Rattus norvegicus: one gene and its partner. The protein of the gene in region 2 interacts with the protein of the main gene of each other region in a biochemical or structural test. Links are inferred from orthologs where the notes say so. Each region holds a gene or a part of one and is shown on either strand. Other genes may lie near its edges.

What was found.
Region 1: of the proteins of Map3k1 (region 2) and Map2k4, one has a biochemical effect on the other in vitro, tested with the Homo sapiens proteins (7 studies listed by BioGRID and IntAct, with this or other methods). The link is inferred for Rattus norvegicus from reciprocal best matches to the Homo sapiens genes MAP3K1 and MAP2K4.

Annotation. Positions count from the first base shown.
Region 1 is NC_086028.1:50,942,400-50,950,749, reverse strand, and holds the start of Map2k4 (dual specificity mitogen-activated protein kinase kinase 4), read left to right. Parts: upstream 1-3,710; 5' UTR 3,711-3,763; coding exon 3,764-3,872; intron 3,873-8,350. UniProt on the Homo sapiens protein: Dual specificity protein kinase which acts as an essential component of the MAP kinase signal transduction pathway. Essential component of the stress-activated protein kinase/c-Jun N-terminal kinase (SAP/JNK) signaling pathway.
Region 2 is NC_086020.1:45,142,457-45,150,852, forward strand, and holds the start of Map3k1 (mitogen-activated protein kinase kinase kinase 1), read right to left. Parts: upstream 5,563-8,396; 5' UTR 5,427-5,562; exon of another isoform or gene 5,316-5,426; 5' UTR 4,816-5,315; coding exon 4,364-4,815; intron 1-4,363. UniProt on the Homo sapiens protein: Component of a protein kinase signal transduction cascade. Activates the ERK and JNK kinase pathways by phosphorylation of MAP2K1 and MAP2K4. May phosphorylate the MAPK8/JNK1 kinase.

The DNA of each region.
Region 1 (8,350 bases), on a different chromosome or scaffold from region 2:
CCCCTCTTCTTTTTGATACAGTTCCTCGTCCCCTTCTTTCTGCTTGAGGCAGTTTCCCCCTTCTACCCCAGGCCGGCTGGAATTCACAATCTTCCTGCCTTAACTGTCCTTCCAGAGTTCTGGGATACAGACATCCCTTACAGCACTCAGCATCCCTCTCCTTTTAAAAGTGAAGTCAGAGAAATAGGACACAGATTCTGAGGGCTGGGTGTGGATGTAGTTCTGGTAGAATAAAATCACATCCTTTTGAAGTACATTGGTATCTGGTCACACCATAGCCAGCGCTGCCAATATTACTTTTCTCTTGGTGGTAAGACCTAGAGTTTCAAGACTTTCATTTTTATTATTACAAGCAGTGCCATGATAAGCATTTGCCTGCAGTTCTACACAGATGCATGGTTATTGGCAATGTTAGTAATATCATTTGAACGGCCATCTGACTCTGGCTGAAGTGCCAGCTTTTCTGGTGGTAGGATGGGTCAAAGTTTCTCTCATGCACTATGTTTCCAGTTGACAAGCTGCTCAAATGGTACCCAGAAACCACACAGTTCATTGTGCCTGAAGAGGCCACATGGACAATGCAATGGCCTGGTCATAAGCTCTTGATGACTTTGGGAAGAAAGGAGATGGGTTTTTCAGAAAGTAGTTTGTGGGACACTTACAGGAAATGTCTGTTGACTCTGTTAGCCATCCCCCGGGGATGTTTCTAAACCTCTTATTACTTTTCCAGATGTCGAAATGGGGTCCTAAGGTGAAATCCATCCGAAATTACTCTTGTTTTATTTGGAATATAAAGTGAAAATGTGTCCTTTTTTAATCAAGATGTTTAAGACTTATTTTATTTTCTGTGTATGAGTGTTTTGCTTGCACATATGTGTGTGTAGCATGTGCATGCTTGGGGCAAGCCGAGGTCAGAAGAGGGTGTCAGATTCCATTACAGATGGTTATGAGGGACCATGATGGCACTGGGAATCAAACCCAGGTTTTCTGTGAGAAAAACAAATGTTTTTCACTGCTAAGTTGTATCTCCAGCCCCTAAAACTCTCCTCTTAATCTAACCATTGACGTTGAGAGATGAACCAAAAAGAAGCAGCAAACTAGATTTTGCAACCAAGTTTCCTGAATCAGGTGCTAGGCAAACATGACTCTTTCTCTGTAGCTTCTCTTAAGGCACCTTGCTCTCACCATGCATTACTCAAAGCAGTAGACTTAATGCCATTCCAATTCTCTGGTTGCACAGCAGTCTGGACTTCCAGGCCCATGCAGAAATTCCGTACATTGGTTTATAAACAGGATTTTTCTGGGGTTTAATACACATTGCCTAATTGTCCTCCCCCCTCTCCCCAAATTATGATAGCCACTACTATTATTACTCCAAATTCTAAGCTTCCTTTGAGACATTTATTGTTAAAAGCCATATACAATGTTAGTTTTCTATGGCTGCCATAACAAAGTACCACAGGCAGCTAGCTTAAGCAACAGGAATTTGTTTGCTCATAACTGTGAGATCAAGATGTGGCACAATGTGGTTTCTCTTCTTGGCTTGTTGATCCCCATCTTCTAGTTTCCTCGTGTGGATCCTTCCCCTGTGTGTCCTCCCACCATCTCATGATAAGAACACCAGCCTTCACTACCTCTTCAGTCTTACCAATCTCCTCATGGACCGTATCATCTTCAAACACAGTCCCTGTCACAGCACCAGGGCTTAGGACTTCAACAAATGAATTCTTAGGAATTCAACTCAGTCTAGCATGAACACAACACAGAAGCTTACAAGAAAAGTAGGAACATGAGAACAAGTAAAAGGCATGCACACAGCTTCAAGAGCTTTAAGAAGTCAAAGTCCTGTCTTGTTTCTGCCCACGTGTAGATTTAATCAGAAGTCCTTGTTCTCAGTCCTTATCTGTCAGTTTACAGTACCAACAGTGATGCAAATCCAGGCCAGATTTATCACAAGCCCAACATTACACAAATAGCTTGGCTGGGTTCACACCCCTTCATTTCTCTTACCCTCAAGAACTTGCTGGGTTGAATGTTTTCTTTAGGTTTCTTTGTTACTTGTTTTTCTCATTCATGTTCATTTAACTATAGTGGCTCAGTATTTGCTTAACCTGATTAAAGTCCTTTTGTATGACCTATATACCCTCTAGGGCAATATTGGAAACAATAATATCTTTTAGCATCCATCCAGACTCTGGTAATGTCTTTAAGAGATTGGTACACACACACACACACACACACACACACACACACACACACACATATAAATAATATATAACAAAATAAAATATATAATGTAACATAATAATATATTGTACTATCATATACCATATTGTATAATAAATATCTTATATATTTTGTAATATATTACATATAGCTAACATAACACATATTTTAGAATTTATATTTTATATTATATAGTATATAATGTATATAGTGCATATACTTATAATATGATATATATGTTATTAAAGAACTATAAACTTGTTGGAAGGGGAAGGGATTTACAAAAGCACTTTCCATAGGACTGGAAACATATTTATTATTATATTTATTATTCACACCAAAGACAGGAAGTGGGAAGCTCATGGTGCTACGGAAACAGGGAAATTCAAATTCCTCTAAAATATTTCTTTACATTGCTCCAGCCCCCAAGAAACTGTGGAAATGACACTCACAAACCATAGTGATGCTAGAGCGGGCTGGGATACTTTCCCGGCAAGTCAAATGTCATGATACACTGGGTCTAGAGTAATGACAGGACCTGATACATTGCTAGCAAATTATGGAGCCTGCATGTTAAAGTGTCCAAGCCAAAAGAAATATACAACTATATTGTATTGTTTTTTTCTTTTGTGTACATCCATGTTTTCTAATATGGCAATTTGTTTGGAAGAAGTATTTTATTTGATTTTTTTCATCCCTAAAAAAAGCTGTAGAGAAGATTCTGGAACTTGTCCATAAACCAGCTTGACCAAAAAACCTCAAAGAGATATGCCTCCTAAGTACTGGGATTAAAGGCATGTGTCGCCTTGGTCTGCTTTATGATTTTTGATTCTTCTCCTGGACCTAAAGTATAACCTTCTTCAAAGAAAGCCACCTTCTGACCTGTGCTTGAAAAAGAGATATGTTTGAAGGCCACCACAGCCTCTCCTTTTGTTGTTTGCTGTTCTCTTCCCACACAGAATAAATTAACAAAATATTTAGTGTGCATTCTGGGCTGGTAACCGACACCGGAACTTTTCCTTTTGGATTGTGATACTTATTTTCCGCGAAGTACTCCTGTCAGCCTCCAGCAGGACAGAGAGCATTGGGCTGAGACCACAGCTATTGCTGCTTCTTCTGTAATGGTGGATCAGAGACTGGACAGGAAGCATGACTTCTGAGATCTCTTAGAGCGCTACTGTTCTGATTTTGGGTTCTGAGGTTCGGAGAAGGGAGTTCTAAAGCTTTGGGGCCATAAGTCTTTCCCTCCCCTCAATGCACATATATTTTTGATTCTGCAAGCCACTGTGGGTCCCTGGGGGGTAGGTAGAGGGCCACCCTGATTCAAGACTGCAGGCCCAGCCCTTAGTTCTGGGTGTTGCAGCTCAACCTGTATTGCAGGCTGCGCGTCAGCGCTGGTGGGGGTGTGCACGGGGGCGTGACGGAGGCGTGTCCGGGGCGTGGCCAAGGCGGCGCACGCCGCGCCCTCAGCGGGGCGAGAGGCCGAGCTTGCTGCATTGCAGCCGCCGCGGCGCCGCTCGGCTCCTCATTTCCAACAATGGCGGCTCCGAGCCCGAGCGGCGGCGGCGGCTCCGGGGGCGGTGGCGGCACCCCGGGGCCCATCGGGCCTCCAGCTTCTGGCCACCCGGCGGTCAGCAGCATGCAGGGTAAGGACAGCGGGCGCGCCGAGACTCTGGGGCCCCTCGCGAGGCGCTTGGCCGAGCCGCGGCCTGTGAGCCGCTGCGTCCCCGGGGCTGTCTGAGGAAGCCGCCCGAGCTCCGCGTCCCGGGCCCGGCCTCGCCCCGGGCTCCTCATCCCCGGCCGGGTTTCGGTGAGCGCTGTGGCGGCTCTGGCCCCGCGGGCTCAGGCCCACCTGGCCGCCCCCGCCCGCAGCTCACCTGGCGCCCGCGGACTCCCGGAACGCTCGCGGCGGGGCCTCTGACTTGCAGGTCGGCCGCGTCCCGGCCCTCGGCCCCGCCGCCCCCGCGCGCCGCAGTGGGGCCGGCTCAGGGCCATCTTGCGCCTCACGGTGCGCCGCTGGAATAGGGCCACCGCGCTGTCCCCCGGTCCCCAAAACTTTGCAGGGTGTCTGCGTGGGAGGGGCGGGGGTTTGCGAGGCTCTGTGCCACCTGTAAGGTGGATAGACAGCCATTGGCCCGGGAGAGGCGTTTCGACCGAGGCCCGAGATGTGTGTTATCCTCTCATACAGAAAAGAAAATCAGATAAAAATAGACGGAGTTCGGCTGAAAGGGAGAGAGATTCAGGAAACCGAATGGCAGAGGTCAAAGTGATCATGTCTGGGCATCTGAGGCAGCTTTCCTGTAATGGCCTTTTCTCCCGGAGAGGCCTTAGGAGCTCTGTGTGGGTTTTGACAGGGGGTGTTGTGAAAATAACAGGCCCGAGTCCATTTCTTAAGTTTACTGGGGCTATTGACACAGGCAAGCCCAGAAATCTCTTGACAACTTTAGCAAACGACTTATGCTGCATTATTAGAGTCGTTTGGATATCCTTGGTATCAGTATGACCATGTTTTCTTTTTGGTTAAACTCTTCATAAAGGGCTCCTTGTGTCTAGTGAAGTTCAACAGATTATATGTTGAATATTTCGTGTTTAATGACAGCATACCATGATTTGGGCAGCAGAAATACGATTTGTATTTATATCCCTTCCCATAAGAAAAATTTGTGGGATAATATATAACCAGATCGTGCACTTCAGTCAGAAGATATATTCTGTGCAGGTCCTAAGCTAATTAATTCAAATGTCGTTAGTGGATGCCTGCTGTGCTCCATAGCACATTGCACAGAATACAAGATGGATTTTCTTGATATCATACCTTTATTATTTGTTAAGATAATTTGAGTTTATCCTCTCTTTTGCCCTGCCCACAATGGGTGTGATTTAAAGTTTAAATATTTTAAGGGTAGTGACAGAGCCTGATTTGAGTTCAATCCTTGGGACTTACATGGCAAAGAGAACTGATTTCCTCAAGTTGTCCTCTGACTTCTACACTTGAATACACAATAAATAACTCAGTAAAACAATGTATACATTTCAAGATTGAGTGTGTGTTTGTGTGTGTGTGTGTGTGTGTGTGTGTGTGTGTGTGTGTGTTTGGAGAGAAGAGGCTGACAGTTCGAAAAACCTGTATACATTTTTTTTCTTGTTCAGAAAATACTGAGCAACTGCTTAGAGCCAGCATAGAGCTCCGTTTTGAGTGTGTAGAGACAGTGAACCCAGCTGTCTCATCTCTGGTGGGGCATGTCCCTGTGAGGGTGGAGGAGGGAAGACATGGAGGTAAACAGGAGAAATTGCTTAAGAAAAATGAAAGCAACAGCTGGGTTTTGTGATAGAAGATAACTGGGCCGTCTCTTTGATAAGATGACAGAGAAAGACTGTCTGGAAAGAACAGAGATGGGGCCTAGGCAGTGAGAACAGTGAAGAGGGGAGACTGTCTAGGAACTCAGAGTCACATAGTCAGTGATTCTGGTGTTCTTTAATCTCCTTCTCTGCTTTTTGATATCTGGAACCCTTCTTAAAAGGGCCCTAAACTGTCTTGGAATTATTGCTGATTTTTTTAGAGGTGGGGGGGAGAAAGAATGTTTTGCATGTATGTATGTATGTATGTATGTATGTATGTATGTATGTATGTATGTATGACTATTACATGAATGCTTGATGCTGGAAAGGTCAGAAGAGGTCATCAAACCCCTGGGGCTCGCTTTATAGATGGCTCTGAGCTACCAAGTGGGTGCTGGGAATCAAACCTGGCCCTCTTGCAAAAGCAACAAGTGTTCTTAACCACCGAGCCACTTCTCCAGCCCTTGTTTTGTTTTTGTTTTTATCTTTACTGATATGTCTTTACTTGAGGCTAGAGCATGTCAGTTCTATCCTGTGTTTTGAACCTGTTTTGACGGCTCAGAATAAAGAAATGTTTAAGGTGTTGTATAGTGCAATCTGAATCAAGAACCTTGGGCTTAAGCAGCAAATTAATTTTTTTCTAGGTTTGAGCCAAACTACTCATTTTTTTTTAACCAGTGTCTTTCTTTGGTTTTATTTTTATTTATTCTTCTTGAGATGAGGTCCCCCTGTATTTCCCAGGCTGCCTCCCATTTCATAATCTTGCTACTCAAAAGACTGCCTTTCTTGGAGTTGTTCATTGTCGGGTCTCATTGACCAGCAGATTCAGGTTTAAGGACATAGGATTATGGTTCAGCAGTCTTTGAACCATATCCAGGAGGATAGGTACTTTGCTTGACCAAAGGGCTTTGTGGTGTTTCATGGCTTGACATCTGTGACCCAACTGTGATACAAAACTGGAAACATTATTTCCATTATACTGTAATGCTTAATGGCCAGAGCTCTGGAATCCTGAGAGTGGATCCCATCCTCATTCACCTCACCAGGACTTAAGCTTTTTGTGAGTATAGTGTTTAGCCTCTCTGAACCTGTGTTTCTTACTTGGAAAGTAAGAATAATGCCTGTTCCACAGGCACAAGGATAATGCATACAAAGCATGAGACTTGGCATACAGTAAAGAGGCCATGCATGTTGGCCATCAACATTTTCATCTGTTATTTCCCCTGGTCCCTATCTCTTTATCCCAAGTGTCTCTAGCCTCCTGTGACCAACTTACACATTTCCTTTTCTAGCTTTTATTGTCTGTGGGTTGGACACTTCTTCTAACCTGCTGATGTTACTATATTTCACTTCTAAGGGACCCTATTTTTAGAATTCCAGAGAAGAGTTTGTTCAACTTCAAACTTTAAATCCTTGTTGGTTTCTGGATCTGAGATTCTCAAATGATGATGTGTTTGAGGTACTCTTGTAGCTGTAAATGGGCTGTGGGCTATGGGTGGCTGGAGTGGGAATTGTAGCAACCTTGGCTTCTTAACAGTCATCATTTGTTCATTTTGTTACATTTTCACAGAGCAGTTATACTTCTGATTTGGCCATTGTTAAAGCATTCTTCCCACAGAGTCTCAGCTATTAGAGAATAGTATCTGATTTTGCTATTACTCATATGTTCGAGCTTTCATTCATTCTGACTCACTTTGTTTTTGAACTTCCTCATGCCCATATACAGACGTACAAACATTTACAAGCTGAATATGCCTCTCCCCATCCCCACCCCCATTCCTCCTTTGATTATTTGGTGAGTAAAACTATCAAAATGTAGATCTGCTTGCCAGGTTGGGTAAATAGTATTATAAAAATATATTAGACATTAAAATATGCCTTTTTTGAGGAAGAAATATTCAAATGAGCTATTATTAAATTGGCCTTAAATCTTAATATTTACTTAGAAATTGAAAAAAGTATTTCCCAAATAATTGAGAGTTTGAAAAACCATTTCCGTGATAATTTGTCATCACAGACTAATTTAACTGAGGCTTCTTGCATGGTATGGTACTGTGTAATAGTGTAATAATTCAGCCCAAGAAATTTTAGTGAACTTAAAAATGCATAATTGCCTTCTTAATATTCAAGAGACTTTGTAGTGGTATCTTGTAAAAGCCCAGGAATTTAGCCAAGTCAGTGGAAGTATATCAGGTGCTCAATCTCAGGGGAGCTGGGCATAAGTATGGGCCCTAATGTTCCATAAAGTCACCATGGGCATGCTAGAGAGTAACAGATACTCTGGTGAATAAAGCTGTCCAGCTGAGAGTTGAGCATCTTCAACAATGAAAACACAGCAAGATGATTTCTTCTGTGCTAGTGGCTTTACCTCTGCATAGAGCAGTCAGTGTCTTAGAAACAAGACTTCAAAGTTGGAAGGATGCTGTGTTTGGACTAGGAAAAACCAAGGTTTAGAGTGTGCCTTATGCACACTCCGCACCCTTGGGAAATGACTGGATTTTTCTAATTTCCCCTAATTTCTCATCCATTGAAAGAGAAGATACATAGCTTATATAGAGACTATTTTAAGAATCACATTAATGTGTGTGAATATGTCTTACATCATAAAATACTATAAATATGTAACAGTTATTACAAATGGTATTGACCTGTTTTAAGCTGCTAGTCATTTAATATGTAGTGAATTTAAAAGATCTCTTAAAATGTGATAAATTGAATTTATTATAAAGACTTAAGGAGACTGGGGAGATGACTCAGTGTGTAAAGTGCTTGCTGCACAAGGGTG
Region 2 (8,396 bases):
ACCCAGGCTCTGTACTAGTGACCTTTTCATCAACCAGACCACTGTCTTGCAAAGTTCATCTACACTGAATGAATGAAATCTAAGACAGTGGGAACACTATTCCAACTTCTTTGTCTCCTTTCACTTATGATTTAATATGGCACAAATCTAAGAAACTTTCAACACTACATTTATCCTCTTTGCCAAAGCAGGAGGTTGGGGGTGGGGGTGGGGGGGGCATAAATAGTACTTACTTGTAAAATACTTGTGCCCACGCAAGGCTGTTAGAGAATGTGTCATATCTGTACAAGCAGGGCAGAGTCCAAGCCCGTCCTCTCACGACTCCTACAGAGCAACTTCCTTTTTAAAGTTCATCAATTAATTTAATAATTAACTTGAAAACAAAAATAGAAACAGCAAAAAAAAAAAAAAAAACTAATGAGAGGAGCTGGCAACAGCGGCAGGCTGACTTGGGTCGAATCCTACCTTTTGTCTGTAGCTGAGTGATCATAGGGTTTTTCTATGTCCAATTAATTTCTTACCTCCCCAAAGAGAAGTTACCATGCCCGAGAGGGCTGGAGATTAAACAAGGTGATCTATGTAATCTGTCGGCCGCACAGAGGGCAGGGAAGCTGATTGTATTAAAAGCGTACACATCTATCTACAAACCCACCAGGTGGTTTTTTTTTTAAGCCACAGGTAAAATCCTTACGTTTAGTGATCTAAAGGGTACCTACCACACTAACATCCCCGCTTCCGGTGAGTCATTTACTTCAGTTCTGGTCCTGACGTCTTTCTTGATTAAAAATATCCTCAAGTAATTTCTTGAAGACGCTGTCGTGTTTTTAACATTGCATATGTTAGCAATCAAACCCAAGGCCCTGCTCGTGCTACCTCCTGGCTTCACAGGTTCCCTCTAGACTCTTCAGCAACTGTGACTTTTAACTAAAGATACAGAAAGGCCAGGACTAAGGAAGATGGCCAGTCGACAGGATGTACATGGCACATGTGATGCAGACAAATCATCTTATGTTGAAAAACGCAGACATGGGGTCAGCAGTGTCCGCCATGGACTAAGACCTTCCTTCCCATGCCACTCTTTCCTGTAATACAGATTTCCCCTCGGCTCAGGGATGCACGTGGAGTGCAGAATGCAAAGGCAATACAAACAGCGTCTTGACCAGCCCCTCATGTTTCCTCAGAATAACCCATTCTCCCCGACTACTGCACACAGCACTTCTTCCTTTGGGATTGGCCAACAGGGTCAAGGACAGGGTGGCGTCCTAGGCAAACTGGCTGGTTTTTTGTTTGTTTTCTGCTCTTGTTGAAAGCTACAGAATATCCCTTTCTCTGAGCATCTTGAAATCGTCAGGCCCACATGTCAGTGACCATTTCTACAAAGTGCAACACATCACACTTAAAGTGCTACAGAAGTATCAATCAACCTGTCTCCTTCCTGTTTGCCTATCTAACAAAATGGAGTCATTATAGTGTATTGGAAATTATATATTAAGGAATGTTGGTTAACCAGTCACTCTTGCCAAGATCAGATATGAAGAGAAAACAAAAGCTGGCAACCACTCTAGCTCTGATATTTCTTTTCCAGAATCCTATTTAATAAGGTTAATCTTTTAAAAATACAGTAATTTCCCTCACCTAGTTTAAAACAAAACCTGGAGAGAAAGCCTAAGTACCAGAGCATGGGAACTCACTCAGGGCTAACTTCTGGGTCTACAGCTATGATTTTAGGGGATCACCTGCTCAGAGCAGATACCTTATTTAGGTTCATTATTAATGTTTTTATACCTCCCCTCCTGCAAAGGATCAGTGATTTGTATTTTTAGCCTAACAGCTTCTAAAAGGAAGTGAAACTGAGGCCTATGAGGAAGCAAGGGCGACTTATGAAATATCGCTACTTCTAAACAAAGCTAACATTAACTAGCACAGCATATCTTGCTCTTTCATGGGGCAGCAAATTGATAGTTTGGTTGAACCTACAAAAATAGGATAGAGTAATTATATCTGCCAAACTCACAATAGCCTGTTCAATGAAGAGCAACACTGTAATTTTTCTTCAAAGACGGTAAATAGGAAGGAAAAGCCCCTTATTCCCTAGTACAAGGGAAAATTCCAAACCCTTGGGCGCCACTTACAGGCACAGACTTTCACTGACTTATTTCACTGAAGGAGAGGGGGCAGACATACAATCTTTGACTTTAATGAATTTCCCATAATTTATCTTTCACGAATGTGTATTTTCTAAACTTTCAGTTTCTACATTCAAAGTTTAGAAACTGGATTAAAAACAAAAAAAAACAAACAAACAAACAAAAACCCCAAAACTACAATAGGTCTTCAGACACACAGAGGGGGTCTTTGGCTCTCTACTACTACAGAAAACAAACACAAAATATCAGTATTAAATCGTCCTCATCAAAGTATGCGTGTGAACTCCTTGAAAGAGGGGAACATAACATTCAATTGAGATTTTATATGATTGCCTTATAATCATTTCCCCAAGATCTTAAATGATAAAATAATAAGGCATCGTAACAGGCAACCCAAAACACATGACAATATCTTTGTATAACCTCTTCTTCATGTTGTAAGTTCTATACCAGCAGATTTGAAATGAATTTCAAACCAGTGCTACAAAAACTGGAGGGGCTGTTGGTATTATTTCAAAAAGATAGATACCCTATATTTTACCGCAAATGAAATTATCACATGTAACATTTGAGATGCACCAACAGAATTCCAGCTAACAGTATTTATTTTAATAACAACCTTTACAATTATAAACCCTCCTTAAGGAGAGGAAAGAGAATGCGAAAATTAAGCACAGATTACTCAGGTATTCAATCCCTCCTGCCCTCACCTTCATCCTCCAATTTCGAGTCTACAGGGAACACTAAAGTTCTATATATCACTTTTGCAGTTGTTGCTCTCATGCTATATTCATAGGCCATAACATTGACTTTGTAAATGCTGAAGTGCGGCCAGCTGTATTACCATATAGGAAAAAAAAATCAGGTCTCACAAAACTAGAGAAAATTAATTCCTCCAAGTTTAAGTTAGTGTTTTTTGCTTCCGTCTGCAGTTGATCTGTAGTAAGAGTTGCCACCTAGGAATTATTCTGGTAATGTTTTAATCTAATCTGCACAAAAACAGGAAACCCTAGAGGAAGATACGTGTACAAGTGCACACAGAAAGCTGCAGTAGGGCTGGCTGCTGCCTACCTTCCTCCCCATTCTGCCAGAGCCCAGGAGTCAGCACACTTTTTACTACGGGGGGGTGGGGGGAGGAAAAACGACCTCCAAGTAATAAACGGACCGTGATTTTAAACAAGCCAGAGCACCAAAGGGGGTCAAATTACTTTAGATAACTAACCGAAACCAAGGATTCCTACTGTCAGATTCGACACACAATAAAACACTCTCCACCCATAGTAAACGTCAAGAAATTCTACGGGGCCACCGGGTGACTATCACGAAAACATATCCAGCAACTTCACACACCCAACAAGATTTTATGCTTTTGTGTATTTTCATCAGAATTTTTAAAAGTATCATATACTTAAAAAGAATTTCCTCTAACAGAAAATTTTCCAGTAGCCAAAAAAGGGCGAGGCCAAAGAGCCGTTGGTGTAAACTATCTTACGCACATCCTACTTCTGGTGCACCGGAAGACCCCTGCGAGCGAAGCCGCAGCCCCGCACCGTCCCTGTCCCCGCCACGCAGCGGGGCTGCGGGGCGCAGTCCCCACAGCTTTGAAGCTGAATGGCTGACACATCCGGTCCTGGATCCTACAGCATTCCGCCAAACGCTAACTTCAAAGGCGGATTCAAACTCCCAGCGCTCTAGCCTCCGAGGTGCGGTAGGAATTCCCAGGGACACGCAGTGAGGGAAGCCACGGAGTCCCCGCAGACCCGGCGGTCCAGCGAGCCCGCAGCGTCTGCCCGCGTCGCTTTGACAGGCGTTCCCCGCAGTCCCCGGAATCCCCCGGCCGCCTGGGGAGCGTCGCATAAGCCCGGCCCGGTACCTGCGGGCGGGCACGCGTCCCCGTGGGGCCCAGGGGCTCTATCCTGTCACAGGGCGCAGACCCACCGCCGTCACCTCCGCCCTCCGGGCTCCCCACTCACAGCGCGCCGTGGGGGCTCTCAGGACCCGGCCCCGGGAGCCCCGCACGTCCGCGGTTTGCACGCCTGTCACATGTCCGCAAACAATAACAAACTCTCCCGCACGCTCCCGTCCTGTCCCCACGCCGTCCCGGGCGCCGCCCGACCTTCAGGGCTCGGGGGCGCGGGGCCCCACGAGCGGAGCCCCGGGAGCCGCGCTCCGTCCTCGCTTCATTCATTGCCCGCCCGGCCCGGCCCGCCGCTCACCCGGAGGGGGCCGCTGCAGAGGGCGGCTCGGCCCCCGCGGGGCTCCGGGCGCCGCTGTCCCGCGCGGCCGCCAGCTCGGCAGAGTGGGAGCCGCAGCGACTCGCTGCTCCCGGGGGTGGCGGTCCCGCCGCAGGCTGGAAGCCACTCGCTCCTGCAGCCGCGTCCGCGGGCTCCGGCGACGGGGAAGTAGATGGGCAGGGCGGCGAGGCGGTGAGGAAGAGCGGCTGCTCCGGCAGCTGGTCCAGCTCCACACTCCTCACTTTGCGCAGCTGCTGCCGCCGCCAGTCCGCGCGCTCGCGGCCCGCGCTGCCAGTCTCCCGCAGCAGCCCCGCGCCCGCTGCGGGCGCGCCGCTTCCCTGGAGAGCTCCGCCGCCGCCGCCCGCCTCGGGGCTCGCCGCCGCGGCGCCCGGGAATCCCGACGACGAGGCGCGATCGCCCGCCGCCGCCGCCATTTTCTCTCGCGGGCTACATTCGCTCGTGCCTGCGGGGGAGGGAGGGGGCGGGGAGAGCGCGGGGGGCGGGCGGAGCGGCGGGCGCGCGCGCTGCGCCGAGTGCGCGGGCGCGAGCGGGAGCGGGGCCGCGTCTCCTGTCTCGGGAGCACGGAGCGGCGGGCGCGCGGCGCAGGTGGGAGGGCAGGGGCTCTGCTGGGGCCGCGCGGGGCGCTGTGCGCTGCACCCGGGCAGCTGCCAGGTAGTACGGGGCGGGGCAGCGGCTCGGCCGGAGCTCGTCCACCCTTGAGCAAGCAGTAATTGGGGCGTGAGTCCCTGGTGCTGGAAGGGGACGCAAGCCGGAGGACTCACGGTCGGTCACTTCACGCTCTCAGTAGCGGGCGCTGGGGGCCCGGCGCGCACCAGCCTGGCCCGCGCCCGAAGCGCAGGTGGCGCCCGGGACTGTCGCCTGCTGCAGACAGACGCGAAGCCTTCTCTTTGGAAAGCAGACCTCTTGTCCCGCCCTGGTGTCACAAATAACACTACTTAAGATTTCCTGTGCTACCTTGTGCACATCTGAGGCCGCTGGTTTGGGACACCCTCCCTCCTCCCACCGGCTATGCAAAAGGACCAACCCGGGTGCTCTGCCAGAGGTTACTCCCCCGTCTTGGAAAGGCAGCCTCCGACCGAAAGCGGGAGAGCACGTCTAGGGAAAGAGCCAGCGCTCTGCCAGGAAGCGCTGGATCTTGCCATCTTCTACCAGGTCTCCCCACCCCCCTCAGATGCTCCCAGCTGCACGTCCCTCTTCCTGGCAGTCAGGTGACAGGCCGGGTTCCTGGGTCCCCCCTTCCCCCACCGCCGCCGCTCCCAGGTTGTCCTATGTAGCGTCCCTCGCCTCTCTCCTGCCTGGGAGTCTTTTTAGAAAAGGTGCTGGGGATAGAGAAGCTGTAAATATATGGGAATTCCCACCCCACCCCTTTTCAACGGGATGGAGCTGCCATGTCGCCCGTATCTCCCCCTCCTCTGCTACTTCTTTTCCTCCGCCTATTTGTCTAGACTAGGCAATCTTTCAGAACCCCGGACCTCTAGATTTAATTTTTGAAACATTAAGACATGAGGCGTGGGGGAGGGGTAAGAAGGGTTTTCGTCTTACAGTAAAAGGAGAGATCTCGCCTGCATTTAAACAAAAGCCTGAACTATCTCAAAATAATTCATTTAACGTCTCCAAAGTAGATCTAATGAAGCCCTCCTTAGGTGTGTAATGTCAGCTGGAGAGCAAGAAAGGGGTTTTTATTTTTTTTTAAAGGATCCTGACTTCAATGTAAGCTCCGTGTTATGCTGAGTGCTACAACATCTGGCAGGCTATAGTTTTTGATGGTTACATTAAAAGGTACACATTTTGAAAGTTTAGATTAGTCTGTTCAAGATTTGGGTCTCCATTTAGGCTATAATTATATGCTCTTTTAATAGTAGACAAGCGTAACATCCAAACCAAACAGTAGTTATTTCCTAGGTCTTCCTAGATTGCCACACCCACCAAATTCTAAATCGAAAAGGATTAGCTTTTCTGGTTTCTACTGAGATCTAAAATAAACTTTAAATTGGCACACTCATAGTTAGGTACCTGTAAGTGAGAAAAGCCACTGCAGACCCTTCTTAGCCTTTGTCTCTATCTTTGGACCAGCTTTGGAAGTTTGGCCTGAATAATAAAGTTTTTTTTTTTTTAAAGGAAATTCCAGCAAAAAGTGACTTTTGCCTCTTTATTTGTATGGTGTTTGTTTGAAAATGAGGGTGGGCATCAAATGAAGCACAGCTGACTAACTGCCGTGCTCTGGCCTCCACATACCGCATCAGTCTATGAAGACTATTAAGACCTTTTGAATCGCATTTCCTTTTGTCTTTTATGGACATAATTCTGCTGTCATTATGCTCCTATACACAGACACACAGTTTTCTTTCAGAGATAAATAATCAAAGGGCCCAATCGACTAAGGAAGTCAGCTCCCTGCTATATACATCCATATAAAGTCTCCTTTGAAAGCAGTTAACTGGATAGGTCCTACCCAACTTTGTGAGTCGTAGGTATGGTTAAGTGGGCCCCTCCCCATCGACACACACCCACCCCACCCCACCCCACCTCCACCTGGATCCTGGAGCTCTTTGGGTCCTCTGTTGTATTTCTGCAGAAGCACATGCCAAATGGCAGGCTGCTGTAGGCTCCGCCTGCCTTAAAGTGATTCCATTTCCCCTCTTTTCTCCGCAGGTATGGTTCTCATTCCTGCTTGGACTTAAACTTAGCAGTGATTTCCCGTACACTGTAGCAGTTTCAGTAACTTTTACCAGAGCTTTCCAGGTCACCGCTCCCACAGAGTGCTGCCAGGAACGGCCTGGGTCACACTTGAGCTGCTCCACCAAGTTCATTTGGAGGCTAAACACAGGGCATTTCCTCATCGAGCATGAATATCACGATGTTAAGATGAAAAGGCGTATGTACTGGCAGGGTATTCCCGCTCGCATGTCGTTCCGCTCGTATTTACTGAGCGCCTCCTTTGCACACACCAGGTATTCTATTCCCCTCAGATTGTTGTTTTAATAATTGTTATTAATTATTGATATGAATATATAACCAATGTCCTTAACAGTCGTCCTAATCTCATCGACTGTTTTAACGGAATAGAGCGTTTTCACCCTACACATATTTTTATCAGTGGGTATTTGTCAGGCTGGTTGACAGATTTTCAGACCATGGTTGTGTGAAGGTGCTCATGCGAGATCTATGTCTGAGGAAGATAGTTACAAGTAGGAATGAGTGGCTAGAGAGGTGACTCAAGTAAGAGCCTTTGCTGCTTTTCCAGAACATCTGAGCATGGGTTTCTAGCACCCAGCTCACAATCACTTCAGACTCCAGCTCCAGGAAAGCTGACACCCTCTCTGGCTCTCTTGGGCACCTGCGCACACAGCCGTTACATGTGCACACACATAAGTAAAGATAAGACTTAAAAAAGAATATAACCTTGAGGGTAAAACAAAAGCTGGAATTTTTGGCATGCTTATAAATACTTATTTTGGACACTTGCTAGAGAAGTGAAGCTAGGTCTTGCTTTCTTCATGCCCCCCCCCCCCCCCCGGTATCACCAGGTGATTCCAGATGTTTTAAGTCATCTATGGGCACTGTAGGTGACATTAAAGTAGCAAATTTCCTATGTAGTGTCACATGGCCAGCTCATCCAGTTGCACATACTAGCTGATACTGGTGTGCCGGTGTACCATGCAACCTGCTAAGGAAACCCACAGCACAGCAGACACTCACAGCCCGTGCTAGCGTGTCCTTGTATACTGTTCACCCTGGGGGAGTCACAGGGCCCTCGAGAACCCAGTGACGTTGTCAAGCCCAACCACTCTTGTGAAATTTAATAAGACGTCATTCAATTGGTTATTAGATCAATACAATGTGAGTATGAGTGAAAATTGGAAATTGTTCCAACGAAAACTGAACTAAGTGCTTCGAAGAACGAATGGGGTCAGGACATGGAAACCATTCTCTGTCAGAAAGTCATGCTTATGGCCATTATAAGGAAGGTGAGGAAGAGGGTATCCCTCTTTAG